2 linked regions of the Notamacropus eugenii genome follow. The protein of the gene in region 2 purifies or fractionates together with the protein of the main gene of each other region. This does not show direct contact. Links are inferred from orthologs where the notes say so. Each region holds a gene or a part of one and is shown on either strand. Other genes may lie near its edges.

Evidence for each region.
Region 1: the proteins of EXOC2 (region 2) and EXOC8 purify together in Homo sapiens (affinity purification with mass spectrometry; 7 studies listed by BioGRID and IntAct, counting the BioPlex papers as one, with this or other methods). This does not show direct contact. The link is inferred for Notamacropus eugenii from reciprocal best matches to the Homo sapiens genes EXOC2 and EXOC8.

What each region holds. Positions count from the first base shown.
Region 1 is NC_092873.1:389,686,857-389,695,354, forward strand, and holds the start of EXOC8 (exocyst complex component 8), read right to left. Parts: upstream 3,590-8,498; coding exon 1,403-3,589; 3' UTR 1-1,402. Other genes in the region: DNA-dependent metalloprotease SPRTN, read left to right, coding at 4,087-4,310. UniProt on the Homo sapiens protein: Component of the exocyst complex involved in the docking of exocytic vesicles with fusion sites on the plasma membrane.
Region 2 is NC_092875.1:171,539,092-171,548,591, reverse strand, and holds the start of EXOC2 (exocyst complex component 2), read right to left. Parts: upstream 3,714-9,500; 5' UTR 3,633-3,713; intron 1-3,632. UniProt on the Homo sapiens protein: Component of the exocyst complex involved in the docking of exocytic vesicles with fusion sites on the plasma membrane.

The sequences.
Region 1 (8,498 bases), on a different chromosome or scaffold from region 2:
AGGCTAAGCCAGCAAAGCATACACTCTGGAAGGTCCTACTAGATTTAGTCCCCCAGTCTGTTATCTAAGGACAGAATGCAGGTTATAAGGTGACAAAACATTTGGCCATAGAAACTCATTAATCAAAAAAAAAATTTTTAATGGCCCATGGTCCTGTGCAACCATGGTGGAGTGCTACAAAAGGAGGCAGAGCGTAAGGACTATTATCTATCCATCAGACAGCTGAAACAGTGAGTCGAAATAGTCTTGGGAAGCCCAAGATTCTTTAAAAGCACTTCGTATTTAATGAAGCTGAAGCATTACATTCATTTTAAAGGTGAACCAAGAATAAGACTTACCAGCGGTTTCTACAACATTCAAATGCAATTTTCTTGAAATTAATACCAGTAAAATGTGGTAGAATACATTTGTGTTTGAGAAATAACATTCTATAATCATTCTTCTGATTCCTGATTAAGAGGCTAGACTCCTCATTAAGGACTTTTTCCCCTACCTGCAGTCTGAGACAGTGTATAATCCAAAAGTGGAACTCTCAAGCAGTTAATGGTGTTAAATATTCCTCACACTGTTATATGTCACAAAGAAAATGAAATTAAAATTCAAGAACAAGAAACAAATGACTGTCACAGCACTTTGGTTTTCCAAGCATTTTGTTTCCAAAGCAGATTTTTAAAGGACAATAACCAACTAAATGTAATTAAGTTTATTCCAATTGTGCTAACAAAATTAATTGCACAATTTATTTTTATTAACTCGTTTCTTTCTAATACACTAAAGTGACTGGCATAGTCTCAGTTTCAACAAAATAAACTGTCTTCTTGAACATTTTTGTCTGAAATTTACCCTAAGGTTAAGTTTGCTAATATTTTTTGACTATGCTGCTGAATAACATTTTTTTTTAAAGGGAAGCAAATTGGGTTAATTATATGGCACTATACCTTTGAAGATAAACAGAAAATTCTTCTGGTAGTCCAGTGACTTACAGAACTTGGAAACAAAGTGTTGACATGTTTGATTTGCATGTAATTATAGATATATTTCTCTGTGCTGCATAAATACCACAAATAATACAACAAATGTGATTTGGCCCCTAGGATCATGAAGCATAGTACTGTGGTATGACCAACAAGGTATAAGGAATAGGGGTAATTAAAGAATATATTAGATGAAATCAAATTATCTTAATGGATTTTTACTCCTTTGATAAAATTTAACCATTTTTTCATTCTTCACATTCTCATCTTGAACTGCTACATAAGAGATGACCTTTTTTACTTTTATTTTTTTAAACTATGTTCTGGGATATAAAGAAGATTTTAATGTGTTATATAAATAATATACTAGTAATGCTGTATATAGACAAACAGACCTCTCTGGAAAAAAAAAATACAAGTGCTGTGTATCAGACCACTGAGGTTGTACTTTCAGGATTTACTCGAATAAGTCTAGATGCATTCCTCAAGTCTTGGAGTTGCTTGGCAGGTTTTCCTACACCTTGCTCAAACCTTTTTTCCACCACAGGGAGGACTGTTTCATATAGAAAGGATGCATTCTGTCTGATAAAGGCTTTCTTTTCTGGGTCCTGTTCACATCGGAGACTGTAATCCACATGTTGAACTGCAACCAATATTATTTCCACAAGACTCTCTAGAAGCACCATATGCAGCTCTGGAAAATACAATTTCAGAGCTTCTTCCAAGAAGCCCATAGTTTGTTTAGTGAAGGCCACTACTGTGTAGCTTAGGTTCACCCAGCAGTCATCCCCTGTGTACTGTTCAAAATTGCTCACCCCACAGCTTTTCATCTCCTCTTTGAGTTTCCCCAAGGCCTCTGGAGTCATCAGGTTCATCCTCCTCCACATTTCCTCAGAGTTTCGGTGCTTGGTGGCCTCAATTATGATTTCTTTATAACTGTGCAAAGCTCCTTGGATATCCTTCACCAGGAGTGCATGGATGATGAAAGTAAGGTCTAACCCAATATCACCCAACTGCTGGCAATGTTCCTTAGCCACCTTTACACACTCGGCTGCTGTAGACAAGCTCTCCTTGCTGTCAAATACCTGCTTGCTAAAAGCATCCACAAACATGCCCATGGCTGAACGGGCCCAAACAATAAAGGCAGAGTAGCAACCACTGTTGGTGCCTGCAAAATCAGTTTCAAACTCCCTAGCAGTCTCAAGAAGGCTGGTGAAGAATACATGACATAACTTGTGAATGTAGAGTAAAGTGGCACCTTCAATTCGCAGCTGTCTGATGGCAGTGTGCACAGCTGCTGCCCTATTTCTCAAAAACAGTTCACAAGCCTTGGTACACTGGCCAAGTCGTATTAACTGAGAAACTGCCCTTCGAGTGGCCTTAGGACCGCCTCTTAGAGAACGATCGGGGGAAAGTTCAAAGACTAGCACTTCAGTGAGTTGCCGGACTCGCTCATCCACTTTGGCCCTCAGCTCCTTTACAGAAGGTGGGCACGGCTTGCCCTCCAGATAGTGGTTTAACTTATCCAACAAGTCCACCGCCCCTTCAAAGTCCCTCTGGGCAATACAAACATCCAGGTCCTCCGGCAACTCCTGGATCCATTCCATCGATAAGTCCACTTTCTCCTCGACCTCGGGAGAAGTAGGCTCCTCCTCCTCTTCATCGTCCTCAAATGGGTTGGTGGCCTGCGAAGAGACGTGGGGCGGGCCCCGCGGGGCGGCGGCCTCCTCCTGTTCCCTTCGCCTTTTCTCGCCGAGGGCCCGCTTGGTTTCCTCCAGCACTTCCAGCCACTCCCTTTTGATCTTGGCATTCTCCGCCTGAAAGATTCGGCTCTCGGGGAACATCAGCAGCTTGAACATGTCCTTCATGGGCGGGTTATCCTTGACGTTCACCACCGCCAGACGGTCCAGCGGGTAGAGGGCGTTGTAGCGGTACATGCCCCGGCGCTGGGGCAGCCAGGTGGCCACCAGCAGGCAGTCGTTCATGAGAAAACCGTGCACCCGCTGCAGCTGGGCCATGTGGTCCGCCTCATACTCCACCAGGTCCCCGTTGTAGACCAGGTACTGCCCGGGGGTCTCCAGCATGTCCCTGCAGCCCTCCACTTTCTCCAGCAAGGTGGTCAGCGTGCGCTGCTTGCCTTCCTCGCCCGCACTCTGGCTGTCCCGGGCGGCGCCCCCGTGGCCCGCGAAGAAGCCGGCCGGGCCTCGCAGGTGGTCTCGGCCTCCCGGGCCGCCCGCGCCGCCCTCCTCGGCCCCGGCGGCGGCTCCCGCGGCGGCGGCGGCGGCCGCGGCGGCGGGGAGCAGGGTGAGCGGGATGCTCTCGAGGCTGCTCTTCTGCTCCGTCAGCAGGTGGCTGAGCTGGTACATCTCGCTCTCCAGGTAGGAGATCTCGCGCGCCGTCTCGATGAACTGCCGGTAGTTCTGGTACACGTTGCGCTTCAGATTCTGGGCCGTTTCCTCGGCCAGCGCCTGGATCCGCTGCCGGTGCTCCTGCAGGTCCCGGTCGCCGTCCGACTGCTGCGACAGCTGCTTCACGTACAGCCGCGCCTCGAAACCGCTCGATTCCAGCTGCCGCCGCAGGCGGCTCGCCCCGCTGTCTGACATGGCCATGGTCATCGCTTCCCCCAGTCACTGTCACGGTCTCCGCGGCCGCCGAGACCCACCCAACTCCGACGGAGTTCAGGGACCGGGGGAGACGGGCGGAAGCGAAGTGAATGCGCCTGCGCGGAAGGAGTCGGCCGGCGCTGGCTGCCAATCACGACGCATGCGCGCCGAGGGCGGGCTTAAGGGGTGTCAGGAAAATGAAGCCACCTGACTGCTGCGCCTGTGCAAAAAAAAAAAAAAAAAACACTTAAGACTAAGAGAGGAAGAAAAGCAGGAGGCGGCGACTGGGAAACTCCCTCCGGTAGTCAAGGCTCTGACGACTCAGGCCTTCCCGGAGATACCGGAAGTTGATGGTTTGTGGTTCTCGCGAGATCAGCTTCCGTTTCCGACCCGCTGATTCAAAACTCCGGCGTCAGCCTGCAGGAGCCCAGCTGGCTGCACTGTGAGTTTGCATCTTTCGGTGTTTTCCGGCTCCTCCCTCCGGGCTCCTTTCCGCTCTCCCGGCCGGGATGGAAGAGGACTTTGTGCTGGCCCTGAAGCTGCAGGAGGAATGGAACACGGAGGTCCCGGCGTTCGTCTCGCCCCCGAAGGAGCCCAAGTCGCTGGTGGACGAGGCTTGGGAGCTCGTGGACCCCAACCCGGATCCCCGAGCGCTGTTCGTGCAGTTCAATGAGCTGTATTTCTGGGGGCGGCTGGAGGCGGTGGAGGTGAAGTGGAGCTTTCGGATGACGCTGTAAGTCCGTCCCCGCAGTGCCCTGGGGGCCGTGGGGGCGGGGAAGCCCGGGCTGCCCCGCCTGGGAGCGGTCCCTCGGGCCCCTTGGCCCCCGGCACGGACCTGGGCTGCCCCCGGCGCGGACCTGGGCTGCCCCGGCCCAGATTTCTTCTTGGAGCGATAAAGCCAAAAATGAGTTCTGCCGTCTTGTGCTTTTACCTCCCCCTCCTTCCTGCGTACTTTTGAATGCGGAGGACTGGGCCGGAACTTCGTAGTCTAGAACCTGCCTTGCCCTGAAGCAAAATCTGATGGAGAAGATACGCATCTTATCGTCCTCCCCAGGGCTTGAACCCAGTCCTAGCAGCCTTAGTGTTTACAAGTGCTCCCCTTCTTTTGCTTCAGTAGTAAGAATTATGTTTTAATGGATGTGGATTCTTACTGAAGCGCAGCCCCCCAAACTTTGATTGGTATGAGCGTCTGTGATCCTTTCCTCCTTCTGACCCCCCTCTCCGCTTCCACCCCCCCCACCCCGCTTCCGGCACTCAGAAATCACCACCTGGTAATCCACCCTCTGCCGCAGTGATTGGATTTAGATTTTGAAGGGGCTTCAGAAGTCATCTAATCCAATTTAGAATCACAGGACTTGAATTTGGTTACTAACTCTGCCACTTGATACATGTTTGACCTTGGGCGAGTCACTCAATCCTTCCTAGGACTCAGTTTTTTCTTCTATTTGTTGAAGGAGTTTGAATCTTCCATCCATGCCTTACTTTTCTTTGGGACTCTTATCCACATCTTTCTCAAAAAGCATTCCACAGGAAAGCAGTCAACTTGGTGTGGTGGCCTTTCTCTTGATATGCAGCAATTAGTCAGCAGCTAGTAAATGACCACTATGGGCTGGGCACTGGGCATATCAGTATAATTAATTAATTAAGCAATCCCTTTTTGCAAGCAGCAAGGAGCTGCTCCTAATAAGGGGCAGACAGCAATGACGTACAAGTATAAAAAAAACTCCAAAAAAACAGAATAAATACAAGGTGGTTTGAATTGCACCCTCAAGGAAGAGATTCTATGAAGCTGAGTTGAGATTGGATTGCATTTCAGGCTTGGGGGACAGTGAAGGAAAGACAGAGGTGGAAAATGGAGTGTTTGTGAGAAACAGGGAAGGCCAGTTTGCTGGATCTCAGAGTAATGGAGGGAGTAATGTCCAGTGAACCTAGAAAGATACCGTGGGGTCAGGTTGTGAGGGCACTGAAAGTCAAGAAGAGGAGTTTTTATTTGATTCCAGAGAAAACAGGAAACCACTGGAGGTTAATTAGAAGGGAAGAATTAGTCATATTTATGATTAAGAAAAATCACTTTGGACAGTACTGCCCTAAAGTAGAAACCCAGGAGTCCTGGCTCATCCTGCCTTGGCCTGACCCTCTTCATACCTGAGGCATACTGGTGAAATCTCTCCCTTAATCCTACTCTGTCACTTTAAATTGATGCTTGCTGATCGAGATATGAGACAAGCTCATAGTCATGTTTTCAAAAAGTCTGCTGTGAGAAGAATAATTCGAAAGTCAAATGAAGGCTTTGCCCAGGGTTTTATGATCTCTGCTTTCCCAGACAAGTTCTTCCTTGTGACATTCCTTGAGATAATATTTCAACTTGTTAAAATACAGCATCAAATGGAAAAACCAGAGGCCTCAAATGGGAATATCTCAGTGTGAGTTTCTTAGTTTGTGACCAGAGTCCTTTGATTCTCCTCTTGTAGTTATTGTGTTGGATGAGATGTCATCAAGAAATGCTGAGGCAGAAGGTTGTTGGTGTTCACTCTATGGAAAATGGCTATTCAAAGGGCTCCTGATAGCCTTTAAAAAGAGGCAGAGCTTGGTAATTTAAGTAGTTTTTAAGTTCATGTAAGGAATTTCCGGTCCTCATTTTTACCTTATGACCATCTGGAAGGGATCAAATTTTGAGAAATAGAAAGTGTTCTCCCCTTCTCCTCCCCCCCCACCCCCCAAATACTAGCTTACCAGAATGCTAAGATGCCTTTGTATTGGTAATGGCCGTATACCTAATTGCTGTTTTACTTTGTTTTGGCTCTTTAATGCCTGTTGTGTACCTCTCTTTTTACCTTGCTGGGTTTGTAAGTTGAGTTTTGGGACTAAATTCAGCTGAAATTTCTTTTGAGCTTCCTCTTGTAATTTAAGAATAGGCTAAGAGGCATTATAAAAAAAATCTGGGAATTGTAGCCTGGACTGAAAGTGGGGAGAGATTTGAATCTGGATGATCAATTAGGAAGGAGTCCTTCAAAGTAATCAAGTGAGAAGTGATTTAGGCTTGAACTTGGGTGGTTGCTGTATCAAGAAAGGGTCTGATAAAACATATCAGGTGTGATCTAGGTTGTGGAAGGAGAAACAGGTTTGGCAACTGATTCATTATGTGGCTACTGAGGAAATGAAGATAAGGCCAAGATTATGAACCTGGACAGTTGTAAGAATGATGGTGCCTTTGGCAGATATGGGGAAGTTTGGAAGAAGCAAGAGTTGATTCAGGGACAGAATAATGAGTTCTGTTTTAGACATGTTGAGTTTGAGGTATCTCAGGTTGTCCATAGGCATCTGGTCATGTGAAGTTGAAGCTCCAAGGAGACAATTGAGCTGGATCTCTGTGTCTTCCAAATCATCAGTATAGATTTGATAGTTAAACCTTTGAGAGCTGTAGAGGTAACCAAAAAAGAATGTTTAGAGAGAAAAGAAAGGTGTAGGAGACCCACAGTTGAGAGGCATAATTTGGATGATTAATTAGTAAGAGAATGAGAAGGAGCTTTTATACACAGAGGAGAACCAGGAGAAAGTAGTGTCACAGAAAAGGAAAGGAGAAAGCATCCAAAAAGTGCCCTTTTATGTGAGAAAAATTTCACATTCTGCCTTTCCTGTCCTCCTCCTACTGTATCCCCGTTTCTCACTACCACCCACCCTCTTTTTTTAATCATCTCAATGTTGTATTGGATTTAGACTTATGACCTCTATAGATTTTAACTACCCTAATAATGATAAAGTTCTTAAGAGTTATGTGTATCACCTTCCCATATAGCAATGTAAACTTTTGTGTCTTTTGTGATTGCTTATTAATGTTTATCATTTTATTCTCCTCTTGAGTCTTGTGTTTGAATGTCAGATTTTCTATTTATCCCGATTATTTTCATCAGGAATTTTCAAGCATTCTTTTTCCCCTGGAAGGATTATACTTAGTTTTGCTGGGTAGGTTATTCTTGGTTGTAATCCTAGTTCCTTTGCCTTCCAGAGCATATTCCAAGCCCTCCTCTTTAACATGGAGGCTGCTAAATCTTGTGTGATCCTGTCTACATAGTATTTCAGTGGCTTCTTTCAAGCTGGTTGAAGTATTTTCTCTTTGTCCTGGCATCTCAGAAAGTTGGCTATACTATGCGTGGGAGTTTTCATTTTGGTTTCTTTCAGGAGGTAATTGGTAGGTAGATTCTTTCAGTTTCTAATTGCCTGGTGGAGCTAAGATATTAGCACATATTTCCTTAATAATTTTTTGAAATTTGATGTCTAGATCCCTTTTTTTGGTGATGGCTTTCAGGTAGTCTAATAATTCTTAAATTATTTCTCCTCAATCTACTTTCCAGGTCAGTTATTTTTCCAGTGAGAGAGTTTATATTCTATTTTTCCCCCATTCTTTTGACTTTGTTTCTCGATGTTTTATGTAGTCCTTAGCTTCCACTTGCTCAATTCTAATTTCTAAGGAATGATTTTCTTCAGTAAGCTTTTTTTTTTTCCATTTAGCAAATTATGCTTTTTAAGGAGTTCTTTTCTTCAGTGAATTTTTGTGCTTCTTTTACCCTTAGTCCACTTCTGTTTTTTAAAGTTATCTTCAGTATTTTTTGTGCTTCTTTTACCAAGGTGTAATTAAATTACATTCTCTTCATAATTTTCTTGCATCATTCTCATTTTTCCCCCAATTTTTCCTCTTCTGCTTGTATCTCTTTAATGTTTTCAGAACTTATTACAGCATTGTAGCTGTTGTATTCTTCTGAGATGGTATGTTGGTCTTCTCTGCCACTGTAGTAGTTTTTTATAGTCAAATTATTTTTTTTGTTTTGTTGCTCTTTTTCTCCAGCCTGTTTCTTGACTTTGTACTTTGTTAAAGTTGGACTCTGCTCACCTGGGGATGGGGAGCCACTGTCCCAAACGTCAG
Region 2 (9,500 bases):
TATTTATTTAGTAGAACACCACAAACAAAAAGAGCAAAGATTGGAAATGATAAAAATAAATCATTATTCACTTAAAAAGAGAAAATTGCAAATTTTCTCAGGTCTCTTTAATCTGAAAAAAAAATTCCTTGATCCTTTCACCTCATTTAGTTGCCAATGAAAAATCTCTTTCCTTTACTACTAAACTTAACGAAGAAATTTGCCTATATCATATGCTCTTACATCATTCCTATCCCAACCCTTATTCTCTCCTTAACTTCTTGCAATCTGACTTCCACCAGGATGAAAGTCCTTCAAAATCTAACCCCTTCCTGCCCTTCCGGACTTCACATGTTTTTACCTTCCTCTATACACTCTACCATTCAGCAACACTGGATTCTCACAGAGAGTACTTTATCTCCTCCTTACCTTTTCACTATTTCCCCTATGCCTTGGGTGCTCTCCAACCTCACCTCCAGCTCCTAGCTTCCCTTGCTTCTTTCAGGATTCAGCTCAAATCCCATCTCCTGCAGGAGGCCTTCACCTCCCTTTTCTTCCTCAATCTCCTAAACAACCCCAGGCCTTCATTGTGAGATAACCTTCCATTTCTTCTTAATATTTCTTGTTTATACAGTTATTTCCATATTAGTTCCCCTATTAGAATATAAGCTCCATGAATGCAGGAACCGTGTTGAATGTCTTCTAGGTATCCTCAGAGCTTAGCACATTGCCTATCACTGTTTGTGTAATTAATGCTTATTCAGACTTACTGATTATTCCTTGTAACTCTGCTGAAGTGATCCCCCAAAAGTTTAAGAATGACCACCTAATAACCAGCTGACTTTTTCCAGTCCTCACCTGTCTCAGCAGCACTTGTCACTGATGACTACTCCCTCCTACTGGATTTTCTCTAATCCCTTGGCTTCACAGACTACATATTTTCTAGATTTTTCTCCTACTTTGCTAACTCCTTTTCTCTATCCTTCATTGGCTCCTTGTCTTCCAAAACTCCCAAGACTTTTTCCATTCTATCATTTATATTGTTACCAGACTAATTTTTTTTTTTTGCTTGGGTCTATTAATGTTACTTTACCACTCAAAAATCTTTAGGGGCTTCTTATTGCCTGCTTGAGACAGTCCCAGCTCCTTTTAATCCATCAATCAACAAAAAGTTAACTACCTATTATGTACCAGGCAGTTAGATTAAATGCAATGGTATAGTAAAGTATTTTCATAAATGTCAAGTATTGCTTCTTCCCACTTGGGATCCCACTAAAATGGTGGATCTCAACCAGTAACAAAGACTCTATAAACTATTTTTCTTCTTGCTACTAAAAAAATACAAAAAGTACTTGTCCTGAGTACTTTCAGTTGGGAAATAATAATAATAAATAATAGGTCATATTTGTATGGTGCTTTAAGATTTGCAAAGCACCGTACAATATTACATCATTTGAACCTCACAACAGCCCTACAAGGTAGATACTATTTTTATCCTCAGTTTATAAATGAATAAACAGAGGTTAAGAAAGATGTGAGTTGAGGAGGTAGAGAGGGAATGTGAGGAAGGGATGTCACAGCTACTAAGCGTTTGAGTCAGGATTTGAATTCAGTACTTCCTGACTCCAAGGCCAACATTCTTATCTATGCACTTCACCAGTTAGTTGTTGGAATTAGGAATTTCCAATGTCAGTATTAATTCATTTCAGAAACAAGCATATAGCCTCTGATGCATGTTAACCACTCATGCGACTGCTGGACATCTTTATTGATTTAGATCACTTAATTCGAAAATTGTCCAGCAATATCACTGACTCCTCCCTATTATAGCAGAAGCAAAAGGGTGGACAAAGTTCTTTTACTACCTGCCAAATCTAGGTTTAGATATTTATATTCTTATCCATTTAGTTTTTCATGTTTAGCTGGCCTCCAGATTTTCATTTGAGTCCTGGTAGGACTTTAGACCACACATTAATGATATCACTTCCCATGGTATCAGAAACACGTTCTTATCAGCATTGGCAAATTGATGTCAGACCCACTGATCCCTCGTCACCTCAACCCAAAGTAGTGCAAATTTTAGCCCAGTTTTTTTTTTTTAATTCTTCCTTTTAGCACTTTGCTTTGCATGAAAACAGTAAAGGACTAGAAGTTCTCAGAAGGTAGGCTCCTCACCACTTCGGTGTTCCACTGAATTCTTCTAAGGAGTGGACACAGAGACATGCACCTAATAAGTATCCAATATGATAGCAGCTAAGATAATTGAGGAAGCTCCACCTCCATGTCAGATGGAAGCATGGCAGCTTGTCCTCTGGCCTCCAGTTGCATCCCAGCTGTTCACAGTGTAATGATATCGCTTCAGGCTATGCTTTCTTGAAATACTTTGTCTGTCCACCCTGTTCACAAGAGCCTTCCTTCAGTTCACTTTCAAGCAGATGTTCAAGTTTTCTGCTGCGTCCATTCTCACGTGACCCAGCCAGGACAGCTTACCACAAACTTCAGATTAGTCATGGCAACAGGGGAATGAGGAATGCATGAATAATTAAAATCCACAGATCATTTCCAGTACCTCATTTTAGCCAACAGATTCAACTTTTCTCCTAACCATAACCTTTTGCTGAAACGGCAAGCACAGCACAATAGATTGCCTTGGAGAGCATCCCTTTTTTCTCCTGCTTTTCTTCACCCTTGGGTGAAATTAGAGCTATGAAACAGCCAAAGAGCCACAGGGAAGGGAATAAGGAGCCCCAAACCAGCCCATACATATAAAAATAACTGTGCTGTCATGGAAATAGCACTGAGCAGAAATTCAGGAGAACTGACCAAGAGCTGTGCAGTTTTGAGTAAGCCACTTCTCTGGGATTTAGCATTCTTATCTACAAATGCGGAGGATGAACTTTAGAATCTGAGATCCTATTAATGTATATTTTAGCAAGCTATTCTTTTTACCAAGTTTTGACTGAGTGGCCGATTTTCTCCAATCATCTGATATGACCCCTAATATATGTGTAGCATTGATCTTACCCACCATGCCTTTTACTCTTAATATCTCGCTGGTAGCAGATCACACAAATCTTCCAGCTCTTAAGCTGAAAGCTTTTGTATTGAAGGATTTTATTTGTGAAAATCAACTTAGAAGTCTTCAAATCCAACCCATTTCATTTTAAAGCTAGATAAACTGAGGCCCAGGGAGGTTAAAAGATTTGTCCAAGGTTACACATGAAGCAAGCATCTTGGTGTATAGGGGATCTTAATGCTTGATTTCATAAAAGTATCTAATACATAGCAATCAATTTTTTTAAAAAAAACCACAAACTTCAACATTCATCTCAATCCAAAAGGAGCGTTCTGGCTGCCCTGTGTCTCCACAGTTTCTCCTTCTCTTTCCTCAAGTATCTCCCCATCATTCGTTTCTCTGTACTCCCCTGTACCTGCCCCCAGTCATACCACTTTTCTCTGATTTCAAATCATAAGGATGAAGAAGGGGCAGGAAAAAAGCATTTATATAGCATCTACTCTGTGCCAGGTACTGTGCTAAATTCTTTTTGCAGTTATCTCATCTGATCCTTATAACAATCCTGCAAGATAGGTACTGTTATTATTCCCATTTTATAATGGAGGAAACTGAAACAAACAGAAGTTAAGTAACTTACCCAGGATCATGCAGCTAGGAAGTTTTCTGAGGCCAAATTTGAACCCAGGTCTTCCTGATTCCAGGCCCATGCCCAGACTCAATCCACTGTGTCATGTCATTCCCACCTTCACCCTCTCTCCTCAACCTCATGCCAGAAAATGTGAAAGAGAGAAAAATGAAAATCACATGGTAGTCTTATTGTGAAATAACTCTACTGGGGGAAAGGTGCCCTAAGTATGTGGGCTGGATTTTCAATTTTTCATTGCATTCCTACTTGTCCACAGAGTAATTTCATTTATGCTGGGACTGATTTCTTTCAGATCCTGAATGTGTGGGGCCATGCTAATTTGCATAGTTGTTGCATTTTAAGTATATTGAACATGATGCATATTCAATCTGCTAACAAAACCAAATGAATATGCTGACAGGAATAATATATTTAAGAGCTGATGGATTGCTAACTGGCTTTCTTTCCTGAAAACATTTTTAAAAGTTCTTCTTCCTAAGTAATAATTTTCCAACTCTCTAACACTGTAAGGATTTCTCTTAGAGTTTCAGTTTAGAACAAATTAAAAATTCCTTTCTAATTATGTCATTATGATCACATCCTAGAAATTTATACGCTTTTAATTCATGTTTCGTTTGCATAATAAAAAGTCCTCAAATTGCTTTTGTACTTTTATGTATCTTCTGTATTTTAAAATACCTCTTGCAATGTCTTCAGCAGTGATACTAGATTTGGGGTTGGCTGTATTTGCTTTCCTAGAAAAACATATTTAGAGGAATTTTTTTTTTTTAGTTTAGAAGATTTTAATTTGAATTAGAATTTCAGTCATTTTTCCGTATTATTTTACTAGCTTATTTGTAAGAATAAGCCCTACGCCACTGATTAATGAAAAATGACTAGTGATACTGTAATATAACATAAAACTGACTAATAGCCAGTGAAAAAAGTTAAAAGACTTTTCAGCTTTTTTAAACTTTTGCTTTAAACAAACATGGACCAGTAACTATTGACTGAATTTGGCAGTAATTCACTCAATAAGTGTAACTGTAGGACAGAAACGGCATATTGTAAAGTAAAAAACATTTATCATTGAAAGTAAAAAAAGAGAATGAAATGCATTGCTGTACTTGTGCCTGCCCCCAAATGATTTTTGGCATACTTTAAGAGAAATAAGACATAAATTAATGCACAAAGCATTTTGAATGTTCTTCCTGAACAAGTCCAGTCAACTTCTCCACATCAAACAGATCCGAGAGCCTTTTGCATTTTTAAACGATCTTCAATAGCATTTAGAAATCTCACATTGCTTTCCTTTCTTGGCTTGTAACAAAATACTTCTTTCCTTTAAAGACCTGTCCAAGGAATCTGTGCACAGCTGACCCAGAGGCAGTGTTTTTCTAAACAATACTCACATACACACAAAAAAAGTTCATTTATTTTGTACAACTGAAAATATTTAACTACATTTTCATGAGCTCAGTCAAAAATATCACTCATCCATGTACTGACTGTGACAGTTCAAATGCAACATTTTAAAGTAAAATAAAATAAAAATATTTTTAAAATATTTTTTTAAAAAACAGTATTCATTAAGCTCCTACTATGTGCAAGTCTTACTATGTGCACCTATTACTCTTATTATGTGTAGGTAAGGCACTCATTCTGTCTTTACATATATCCTTTCAGTCAAAATCAAATTAACCTGTTTGAAGATAGGATACTAGACATATACCTACCCTTCATTCAGTATTCTTTTTCAACTAAGAAACTAACTCCAAAAAGTACATTTAATTTGCTTTGTAAATAAACTACTTTTTTACTCCTACAATAAATATTTGTAATCAGAACTCCCATGTACTAGTATCATAAGGGAGAAAAAACAAAATAATTCAGAAGTGAGAGAACAGCATTGGGATCACCGAAGACTTTGTCTATAATACCTGTTTTCGAGCATACTGTATCATCTTTAAAATAGTGCATTTTTGAGCTAAACCAAAAACAGTACAATGTGCTAGATTATTTTTATGGCTACAATTACATAAGCATTATTTACATGAGGAAAAACCATGCTAAGCCAGAAAAGGTGGTTGCTGTGGCTAAAGTATTCTCTAATATAGGTCCCTTCTGTAAAAGTGTACATTTTAATCACCTTTCAAAAATTAAGCATTTTTAATGTTTTCAATGTGGACCAATTAATGTTGGAAGAAATATATATGCATGTATCCAGAATATCTAACATCTATACTTCTAATATACATTGTTGTCATTTCTTCAGGAAACCTAAAAACATGGTCCTTCTTAAAATTTAAATGAGGTTTGTACCCTTCAGAATCTTTTCTTGATACTTGAAAAATGGCAGCACCTACCAAGTAATTCAATTGTTTTGTTAAATCTACCTTCCACATTCTGAAGAACAGTTTAATAAATTATGAATTGAAACAATTTTAGTTCATCAGAGCATTATTCCTTCAAGATATCTGATGAATAAAAATAAGAGTTAAAGGCTATATAGTTTTTATATGATACCAAAACCTTACAACTTTCTCTTGTGAGACTTACACACTTTCTTAATTATTAGTAACAGGACATTGTGGTTTCTTACTGCTTTGTGACATTTGACCACTCATTTTTCTTGAAGGAAATTCTAATGTTTCTCAGTCAGAAACATTTTGTAGATAAATACTCACTCTTTCTCAATAACATAAGCATTCACTTTATTTACCTACAAAATGATGATTATAAAAATGAAGTGCTCTTCCTTAACTTTACTCAAAATAATGTAAAAATTAATTATGTCTCTGACTTCTCTCTAATGGTAATAAAACTAACTCAGAAAAGGTGGCTTTATAAAAAAAAATAAAACTATGTTAGTCTGGGTTGTGATGATCTCCTACTGTTTTTTTATTGCTACCATTATTTAAAAGATTAAATTAGTCTTCAGGTCTTGAAAAGTTTTCTAAAAGTAGTCACATATGTTCTAATGGCAAATGTGATCACTTCCATTGCACTGAAATAGAATAATATAATTCCTCAATATCAGTTGGAAGAAACATTGGAGTTTGGGAAGCAACGTGGTATGAATATTAGATTTGGTATTAGAGAAGTAGGATTCAAATCTCAGTTCTGTCATTAAACCTGTGTGGTGTTGGGCAAGTCCCTTTACCTCTCGGAGCTTTAGTTTCTTCCTCTGAAAAAGGAGAGAGACTAGAGGATCTCTAAGGTCCCTGCTAGCTCTGAATCTGTGATCCTAAGAATTTAACCTCATTATGACTCAAATACTAAGAGACCTTTTGTTTTAACTTGTCCCTGAGTAGGAATCCTCTCTATGCTATCCAGATGAATGGTCATCTCTTCTACATTGGGAGAACTCCAGAGAAATGTAATCTGGTTCAATTGGTCCCTAGCTAGGAATCCCCTCTACCCTATTCCAAATGAAGGGTCACCTATTTTCCATTGAAAGAGCTCTAGTAATAAAGAACTCATTCCTTCCTCAGGGAGTCCATTCCCAAGGTGCAGAGAAGGTAAATCACATACTTCATTTTATGGAGAAATGTTTGCAGTACTCCTTATTCTTTTATTTTAAATGTCATCCTCATACTTTTATCCTCTTCCTTTTTCCATCCTGGAATTTACATTCTTTGACATTAATTTTAACTCGACTCCTAGGGAGGTAAATGAGGTCACAGTACGAGGACTGCCTGACAGCAGGTAACTCAGGATCAGATTTAACAGTTAGCTAACTACTGAGAAACACCCTGAGAAATCATGGAAAGGAGGAGAAGAGGAAATGAGGACAGCATGAAGACTATAACTATATTGTTTCTGCACAGAACATGGGAAAAACCTGTTGTTCTTTCTTTTAAATCTTAACTTTAATAACTTGATATTTCATACGTCTACATCACTCATCTGCCCTAGAATTAGTGATGGATTAAGGTATACCCCTAGCTAAATCTCCCTTCTCTTCAAAAGATCCTCTTATGATGCCTTGTTTTGAATTTTGACACATAACCAGTGGATATTCCGCATCCCCCTTCCTCCCCACTATCAAGCAGAAGTTAAAAGTTGGAGCTGAATTTGCATGTTAAGATTTCAAAGAAGCGTCTGAATGGGAGTAAGGCTCACACGGAGGTTACAAAAGGAATTAGACTTCTTTGGTAGTAGATAGAGAAGAGAAAGATGGAAGAGGCATTTGAATTTTTAGGGTCCTTTTGTGTTTTATCACCTATTCAATCTGTATAACTCAGCTTACATCACCCCATCTCTTCAGCCATATTTCAAAGATTTATTTTTCCCCTTACTCCCTTATTCCTTCTGTATGTTGATACAGTCACTTGTATATAAAGAATAATGCTGACTATGGCATTCTAATTTTTAAAAAAATAACACATTTTTCTTCTGTGAGTCAGCCACTCATTGTAAGAAGATTGTTAACTGGTATTCTGCTTTTGACAATTCTTAAGATTATTACTGGAGTCTGTAACTGGAGAACCATGTTAGAAAGTGATTGGGCTTGCTAACTACAGGGACTGAAATGTGTCTCTCCTGAGCATGAAGGAAGCAGGCAGTTTGCCATATATACTTCTCTTGCATAGTCAGATAAGGAGGTCCGATGCTCTCTAAGAGAGGTTTTTTTTTAAAATTTCTTAGTTATAGTGTCCATGAGACATGTACTTTTACAGTCTCTTTCAAGTTGTATTATTTTATTGAGGATAAAATTTTTCTTCATAGGGGTGGGGCAAGAAATTTGAAGAATCTCCTTTATCTTGCATTGTTTGGTTTACATGTTTTAGATAACCGATTCACGTAAGATGAGTTGTCATATGTTTATACCTTGTTGACAGCTGTACAAAACTGATACATGGACTGATATTTCTACTCCTTAGTATTTTATATCCACTTCAGTTTTGTGTTTTAAGTCAGGATGTCTCAGAGAGACACATTTGCAAAGATACTTCATGTTTGTGTTTTCCTTTGTGCCATTGCCCATTTTCCATTTTATTTTATATGGATAACAATAGCCCATCATCCTTATTAATACCACTTTTGCTGTCAAAATTTAAATTTTTATTCTTATTGAAAGGCTATGAAATTTTAGGACAGTTTTCTTTTTGCTATAACTCCAAATTAGGTATGAATTAATTCTCTGTACACATTTAAAATTATATTCTGATTCTCTATTAAAAGAGAGAAGGAAGAGGACAGGGTTTTTTGTTTGTTTAATTTTTTAGTTTAGTTTTTTTTTTTTTTACTGTACTCAGGATGGTGTAGGGGTGGGGAAGGAGTAACTCCACAAGGATCAATTTTTATCTATATCTATTTGCAAGGAAGATATATTTTTCTTATTTTTTAACACTGTACTTAGCCATTAGGAATATAGTAAAGAAAATAACAACCTTGCTAAAAATAGTTTAAGCTATGAAACTAGCAAAGCATAGTTTAATGGAAAAGATTAAAAACGGAAACAATGCTATCTTGCATTGTGAACCAGACTCACAATTTCATTAATATAGATAGGGAGCACCTAGGTGAGGAAATTCCTTAAAATAATTCAAGTCTGTACTTTCTTTGTACTTTATGGTTTTTAAAGAGCTGCCTAGAGTTTTAGAAGAGGCTAAGTAAGAAGGAGAAGGAAATAAGAATTTATTAAGTGCCTACTACATGCCAGGTATTGTGCTTTACAAATATTTTCTTATGTCATCCTTATATGATCTTGGGAGGTGGATTCTATTATTATTCCCATTTTACAGTTGAGGAAACTGAAGCCCAGGGTCACACAGCTACCAAGTGTCTGAGATTGAATTTGAGCCCAGGTCTTCCTATCTTTAGACCCTGTGCTCTATCCGTTGGGCAACCTAGCTGCAGAATGTTTAAATGATC